Linked DNA regions of Callithrix jacchus. The protein of the gene in region 1 binds, or shares a complex with, the protein of each later gene. Links are inferred from orthologs where the notes say so. Each region holds a gene or a part of one and is shown on either strand. Other genes may lie near its edges.

Evidence for each region. Proteins that work in one complex are often made in the same cells at the same time.
Region 2: the proteins of GSK3B (region 1) and FRAT1 are in contact, whole or in part, in a crystal structure (PDB 5OY4), measured with the Homo sapiens proteins. The link is inferred for Callithrix jacchus from reciprocal best matches to the Homo sapiens genes GSK3B and FRAT1. Residues at the interface, in NP_001139628.1 of Homo sapiens: Tyr216, Ile228, Phe229, Ser261, Gly262, Val263, Asp264, Leu266, Val267, Ile270, Lys271, Thr275, Pro276, Ile281, Tyr288, Thr289, Glu290, Phe291, Lys292, Phe293, Pro294, Ile296; in NP_005470.2 of Homo sapiens: His200, Leu202, Leu203, Leu206, Val207, Ser209, Gly210, Asn211, Leu212, Ile213, Lys214, Glu215, Ala216, Val217, Arg219, Leu220, His221.

Annotation. Positions count from the first base shown.
Region 1 is NC_133516.1:82,946,438-82,950,073, forward strand, and holds part of GSK3B (glycogen synthase kinase-3 beta), read left to right. Parts: intron 1-309; coding exon 310-348; intron 349-2,977; coding exon 2,978-3,164; intron 3,165-3,636. UniProt on the Homo sapiens protein: Constitutively active protein kinase that acts as a negative regulator in the hormonal control of glucose homeostasis, Wnt signaling and regulation of transcription factors and microtubules, by phosphorylating and inactivating glycogen synthase (GYS1 or GYS2), EIF2B, CTNNB1/beta-catenin, APC, AXIN1, DPYSL2/CRMP2, JUN, NFATC1/NFATC, MAPT/TAU and MACF1.
Region 2 is NC_133513.1:90,146,540-90,150,611, forward strand, and holds FRAT1 (proto-oncogene FRAT1), read left to right. Parts: upstream 1-1,209; 5' UTR 1,210-1,385; coding exon 1,386-2,225; 3' UTR 2,226-3,777; downstream 3,778-4,072. UniProt on the Homo sapiens protein: Positively regulates the Wnt signaling pathway by stabilizing beta-catenin through the association with GSK-3. May play a role in tumor progression and collaborate with PIM1 and MYC in lymphomagenesis.

The sequences.
Region 1 (3,636 bases):
TTGTATTTTTTTAATAAACGCACTGGCATTGGAACATAATAAACAAAAATTAAAATGTTTCTTTACTGTGCCTCACCATTGCACAATCAAAAAAAATTTTTTTGCATACACTGTGGTGAAATAATTTTTAAAACTTGGACTTGCTACTGTGGAGACTGATGTTTAAAGTTTATAACTGTATAAACATTTTCTATGTCCCCCCCACACCATGGATTTCTTATAACATTGGATATATTTTTCCTTGCTGGACTATTCTCTTTTGGATTGACTTCCCCTGTTTGGATTATTTCACTGCATTATCATCTTTAGGATTCGTCAGGAACAGGACATTTCACCTCAGGAGTACGGGTATGTACTTAATTTTTTTTTTTTTCCCAAAATTTCAGGGCAGGTCTATAAAACTTGGGGGAAACCTTTTTTGAAAGGCTAAACAATTATTCATTCTTGAAATGTAATAGTAAACGATGTAAGTAGCTGCGATTTCTGTTTTTATTCACTGTATGGCATAGGTTTTGCTTATAATATATTTAGATTGTCAGTCTCTTGGGTGATTCATAGACATCTAGGCTGAAGTTTGGGAATTGTGGGGGTTTAAAATTATTATTTCTATTGCAAGAATAAATATTGATGAAGATCCATGAAACCAAAGGTCTGTGTGTTAAGCAATGTCAATGAGTAAGGAAAGAAGTGACAGCAGAAGCTTCTTTAATTAAAAGACACATTTCAGTTCTTGGTGGTTTCCTTTTCTTTAGAAGCAGAAATAATTCAGATGAGCTAGTTTCTAGTTTTCCCTATAATTTTTAGAAGTTGTGTGCTAACTCACACTGTATTATGGTCAGAAATCTGAACTGTGGGAGATACTGGGTTTTGGCCCCACTTAATTTTCCACTTAACCTTTATTCACTGAGTACTGAACCAAGGCTTTTCTCATCAAGAATCTCTTAAGGGTTTAAAATAACAATGTATACTTTTTGCAAAGGCAGGTTAAATCTTGATTTTTATGTAGGCTCTTGGAATGTATTATTTTCTTTATAGTTTTTAACTCTTGAACTTCATGAGTTAAGATTCCCTGACAAATATATGCTAATAAATATTTTAGTACCAATATGGATGATCACTTGTAGCCAGTAAAACACCAAAATATATGGGTGACTTAAAAAAATATTGAAAATAAGCTTATAATACTGGTTTATTAATAGCTTTAACACAAAATCTTGGAAAATATAACATGAAAATTTTTTATTTAAAATAACTCACCATCCATCTATCCTACATTTGAAAGTTAGCGGGAGATACTTATTTCTTCCTTTGGTGCTACTTTTAATTCCACTTATGTGCTGCCATATTGGTGCAAAAACATTTTGGATTAGCTAGCAAAATAAATCTATATACCATCAAACAGAAGCAAACTTGCCCTCAGGGATAAAATATACCAATAATGTTTAATATTTTTATGAAAATTTTCTGGGTTCTCCCACTGATTATTTTCTTTTTACATTCTGTATTTGATTATGGACTTTGGGAGCAAGAGAGGGGACAAGAACAGTGGAAGAGCTAAACATTTCAATAACTCAAAGGTTTTCTTGACTGAGGCAAGTCAGAGTATTCAAAAGAATAAAGATAAGGCAGGTTTTGACCTTATAAAAAGGTTTTCTTTTTCACATATCCAAGAAATTGACTAAGACCTTAATGTTCTGAAATAAATTTCTAAGAGCCTACTTTACGTAATTTCTCAATTTTCATGGAAAATGTCTTTTTCAATAATAAACTAAAATAAAATCTTTTCACTGTAGACAATACTTATAGTCTCTGGAAAGTCTAATGAGCTCTGTGGTTGTAACTAGTTCTACTGACTGTCAGCATAAGTGAACAACCAGATGTTACATTAACCAATCTTACTAGAAAATCTTAGTCTCCCAGGCTGCTTCATGCCCTGTCACAATATGAATGGGCTTTTCTGACTTATAGGTCCATTTCCCTCCGTTTATACATGTCTACTTGTCTGTCCACCTCCATCATCACACCTTTTATTTGGTTGTGTGTTCTTCCTATCAAGGGATATATGTCTCATTTTTCTTTAGTTCAAAAGTTCCTCATCTGTTTATTTCTATTCCTTCCCTTTTTATTTTTATTTTGTAGCTGGTCATAATTTAGAATTAAGTATATTTCTATAGTTTTTTTATTGATTAGTTTTATTTTATTTAAGACACAAATGAGTAGAAAGCTATCTACTCCTTTAAGTAGATTAATTTAATTGAACTTTCCTTCAATATAGCCTTCAGTTGACTTTTTCCATGTCTCAATCATTCTTAATGGATAATATATTTTTCTCTCCTTGATTAAAACCTTGGAATATTTATTCAAATGAGGGAAATCTGGCCACATCGATGGTAATAGCTACTTGAGAAAAAAATATAGGACATTTTATCAAATTCTAGTTTTTCAAGAATTTCTTCAAATAATGATAGGCTCTGTTTATTGGAGATAATCAAATCAGTAGCATTTGTAGACCTAGAGTAAATAGCTCTTCTTTCTTTTAAGATATTGATTGCCAGATTTTTCAACAATGCTGCCCATCATTGACAGTTGTTCTGCTAAAAAAAAAAAAATGCAAAAGAGGCAAACTTTTATTTACTGCCATAGCAGTGAAAACTTTAAAATTTTAAAAATGTTTTTCTAGTTGTGCTTGCCTCCAGAATGTAGCCTTTCCCATGTGCCTGTCATATTTTGTATGCATGTCTGATTGTATTGCTTTATGGTTAGCATATATAGATTTTTTTCTCCGAGCATTTCTCATATAGTCTTAATCAGCAGTTCACCACTGTGAAGCATATGCACTTAACTCTTTCCATTCTAGAAGGTCTTTTCCCAAATGCAACCATGTTTCTGTACATGGTAGGAATTAAGTCATTACTCACAGGGTACTTGCCTAGATTCATATAACATTAATTATTCTTTCCCTTTTTTTGTACTGCAGGTCTTCCGACCTCGAACTCCACCAGAGGCGATTGCACTGTGTAGCCGTCTGCTGGAGTATACACCAACTGCCCGATTGACACCACTGGAAGCTTGTGCACATTCATTTTTTGATGAATTACGGGACCCAAATGTCAAACTACCAAATGGGCGAGACACACCTGCACTCTTCAACTTCACCACTCAAGGTAACTCCAAATACTTAGCTCTTTCACCATTTCTAGGAAAGCTACACACTGGGTGTGAAATGACATTCCATTAATTAAAATATGTGGAGGACAAAAATGGACATATTAAGTACTTATGAAGGTGAAAAGATTATTCTTTCTGATTTGCTGGCCACTACTTACATGGTTTTGAACAAAAGACTAGCACATAAAGAAGCTATGCCTATTGGAAAACTTTTAATTTTTAGCAGAATATAATGTTGGCACATGAGAAGTTACAGAGAATTCAGTGAGTGAAGTTTATCACTAATTGGATTGATGTACAATTTCATCTTTAAGTTTGGATCTGAAACTTAAAATAGTAGCATTTCTTGCTTCCGTAGAGTTTGGATCAATTTTTTAAACCTGGAAATGAATTGGTGGCTGTATTTGTATAAATTCAGTTGTCTTCCAAACAGGAGGAAAACTAGAATCCTATAAACCCTTTCTAAGA
Region 2 (4,072 bases), on another chromosome or scaffold:
GGCCTGGTGGCTCATGCCTGTAATCCCAGCATTTTGGGAGGCCAAGGCGGCGGATCACCTGAGGTCAGGAGTTCGAGAACAGGCTGGCCAACATGGTGAAACCCTGTCTCTACTAAAAATACAAAAATTAGCTGGGCATGGTGGCAGGTGCCTGTAATCCCAGCTACTTGGGAGACTGGAGAAGAGTTTGAACCCAGGAGGCAGAGGTTACAGTGAGCCAAGATCGTGTCATTGCACTCCAGCCTGGGCAAAAAAAATGAAACTTCATTCAACAAACAAACAAAAAAGACTAGTAACCTAGGCCGGGCGCGGTGGCTCACACCCGTAATCCCAGCACTTTGGGAGGCTGAAGTGGGTGGATCACCTGAGGTCAGAAGTTCAAAGCCAGCCTGGCCAACATGGGGAAACCCCGTCTCTACTAAAAATACAAAAATTAGTCCGGCTTGTGGTGGGCGCCTGTAATCCCAGCTACGCGGGAGGCTGAAGCAGGAGAATTGCTTGAACACAGGAGGTAGAGGTTATAGTGACTGGCGATCGTGCCACTGCACTCCAGCCTGGTTAACAGAGCGAGGCTCCTCCAAAAAAAAAAAAAAAAGACTGGCAACTTCCTTTTCTCCTCTCCAGCAACGCCAACCCCAGTCCAGGCCCCCATCGCCCAGGATCTCTATCAAGAAACAGTCATCTGTGGCCTTTCTTTGCCATTTCCAACTCTGCCACCCCCATTGCACGACAAGGTCCCCTTCTTCCTTTCCATTCCTGTCAGCTTCGTTTCTCTATAATCTCCGTACAAATCTCTAGCCTAACTCCTCTTCCTTTCCATCCTCTCCAGATGCCCGCCTGCTGGACCTCAAAAGCGCAAACGCTAAAAACCGGTTAAGTTGACGCAAGGAGAGAAGGGGTGTGTGGGTGGGTGTGTGTGTGTTAGTGTATGTGCTTGTGTGTGGAAGAAACCAACGGGGTCCACGCTGGTGTCCATTTCTGGAAATGCCAACAGCGCCCTACTGCGGGAGCCAGGATCAGGTCCCCAGGGCGCCCCTCCAGACAGCACCCTTAGCGAAGGAGCGAAGACGGCAGCCCTGCTTCACCCAGACCCCTAGTTCCGCAGGAGCTCCGCCCCACAGCGGCACAGCACCCCTGCCCCGGCGCGGTGGTAGGGCCCGGCACGACGTCACCCATTGTTTACAAATCAACTCGAGCCGGCAGGATTCCGGCTCCCGCGGCGGCAGGCGCGCGGCTCGAGTGCCTGGCGGGCTCCGGCTTCCGTGTCCGCCCCGGCCCGGGCTTCGGCCTCAGCCCCGCGCCCGCTCTGCCGCGGCCCACCGCGCCCACGGGCAGCTAAGCCTCCAGCGACGCCCGCACAGCTCCGGGTGCCCGGACAGGGGGCCATGCCCTGCCGGAGGGAGGAGGAAGAGGAAGCCGGCGAGGAGGCGGAGGGGGAGGAAGAGGAGGAGGACAGCTTCCTCCTGCTGGAGCAGTCGGTGGCGCTGGGCGGCTCGGGCGAGGTGGACCGGCTGGTGGCCCAGATCGGCGAGACGCTGCAACTGGACCCGGCGCAGGACAGCCCGGCCTCGCCGTGCGCGCCCCCGGGGGCGCCGCTGCGAGCCCCGGGGCCCCTGGCTGCAGCGGTGCGGGCGGACAAGGCCCGGCCCCCGGCAGTGCCGCTGCTGCTGCCGCCGGTGTCGATGGAGACAGTGGGCCCGGCGCCCCTTGGGGCCCTGCGCAGCACCCTGGGGGACCGCGGCCGCGTGCGGGGCCGCGCTGCGCCCTACTGCGTGGCGGAGCTCGCGGCAGGCCCCAGCGCGCTGTCCCCACTGCCCCCTCAGGCCGACCTTGATGGGCCTCCGGGGGCTGGCAAGCAGGGCGTCCCACAGCCGCTGTCGGGTCCGTGCCGGCGAGGATGGCTCCGGGGCGCCGCCGCCTCCCGCCGCCTGCAGCAGCGACGCGGGTCCCAACCCGAAACCCGCACAGGCGACGACGACCCGCACCGGCTCCTACAGCAGCTAGTGCTCTCTGGAAACCTCATCAAGGAGGCCGTGCGGAGGCTTCATTCTCGACGGCTGCAGTTACGTGCAAAGCTTCCTCAACGCCCGCTCCTGGGACCGCTGTCGGCCCCGGTGCATGAACCCCCTTCGCCTCGCAGCCCTCGCGCGGCCTGCAGTGACCCAGGCGCGTCCGGGAGGGCGCAGCCCAGAACTGGCGACGGCGTTCTTGTCCCTGGCAGCTAACACGCCTGGGGTGGTCACAGCGCCAGCCTCATACTGGAGGGCAAGGGGTTCCCCTGAGGGCTGCAGTTCTGCTCAGGCTGATGGAGAACTCTGGCTTTTGGAAGCGAGAGAAAAAAAGCTAATGATGAGGGACCGAAAAATCGCGAATGTTTCACGGGACACTGGGGTCGAAGGCCAAAATATTTGGAATGCAGGACTTGGCCCTATTTAAGGCAGATTTTACAGAGTGCACCCCAAGCTTAAAAGTCAGTAGAACTCCTTATTTGGCGTGACCCGACCTGGCCGCGGAGCCTGCAGTTCTGTGCAGCCTCTCAGTGCCCTCCAGCCGGCGACCATGTGGCCACAGCCCACGCTTCTCGGGATCGCGGTGCGCTGGAACCACGGAGGATGAGATGCCAGTTACTTGCTTTCACCTTTTCAGAGCTGGCTCCTGGTCCACTTTGTGGGAGGAAAACATGAGTGGATAATTTCAGGGTGCACCCCAATCTGCCGGACTTGAATATTTTCGACACTTAAAAAAAAAAACATCTTGTGTCTTTGGAGGTGCTGCTTAATATCAAATAGCCGGTGCCATGAAGGGACCCTTTGGGGATTGAATAGGAGTAACCCCCGCCCTCTCTTTGCAATTGTCTGCCTTTCTCAGAGTGGGAGGGAAGGCTGTACCACACAGGTGCGGACAGGAGGTGGGGGCGGGGGGTGCTGAATGGTGGTGGAAGGGTAGAATGAGGCGCGGGGTAAACCCCACGCCCTCTCTAAAGTGTATTTTCACAGCCGGCCTGCCTCTCCGAGGGTTCAAGGTCACTGTTTCCTGGGCACGCACTGGGTTGCGGGGCAGAGTAGCCGGGTTCTGCCCGTGTTCGGAGAAGAGCGCAGTATTTTGCAAGTGCTGGAGTCTCCTGAGGACACGCGCGCCGCCGCCACCGCGGGTGTGGGAAAGCGCGGACGTGCTGGGCGCCTGTGCTTCCCTGGGCGACCACCGCCCCTGGCCGAGGCCCCGGCTTTCACGGAAACTCGCTAGACGGAGTCCTGGGTTCCTCCTCTCCCCCTCGGCTCTGCTGTCCTACTCATTCGGTGGCGCAGGGATCCTGGGGGCCTGGGTTGGGGGCTAGGGATTCGTCATGTGATGGGCACTCCAGGGACACACAGCCTAGCACAGCAGCTTATAATGGGCTCTCCGGGGCCATTTGCAGTAACAGCTGCAATTCCCTGGATAGACGGAGTTGATTTCCTCCCTCTGCCCCTCCCCCAGTCATGCCAGCTGGCCTTTGTAAGTGCAGGAAACCGAGTAGAAAATGTGACCCTCCAAATGGAGAAGCTGCAGGCTTTGCCGTTGCGAACCATGGTGAAGTGCTTGGAACATACCGTTCGCTCATTGAAGGCGCTGGGACTGTGCTGTTGTTCTAGTTTTATAGTCAATGGCTTGTTCATCATCCAGATGTGGCTACTGACATATCTACACTTCGCACCGGAGTGTCTGGAGTTGTGGCTGTCCTGATTATAGGATTTTAACTTAACTGAAATGCCTGCTTTGAATAAATGCGTTGGGTTTTTTGTTTGGTTTTATTTTATACTTGCCATTGGTGAAAAAGATGTACAGAACACATTTCTCTGATCTCCATAAACATGAAAACACTTGAAAGCCCTGTCAGCCTGGCTTGCGGATGGTAATTAGAGCGCCTTTGTGTCTGAGCAGCTCACTAGCTAGACAAGGTCTCCGCAGCTGGGTGTGTATTGGTGCTGGCATGAAATTAAATGAAAGTGAGGTCAGGTTTTGGACCAATCCCATTCGTTAAAACCTCGGAGCCTTTTGGATTACTAGTCAGTGATGGAGATGTGTTATAAAGCTG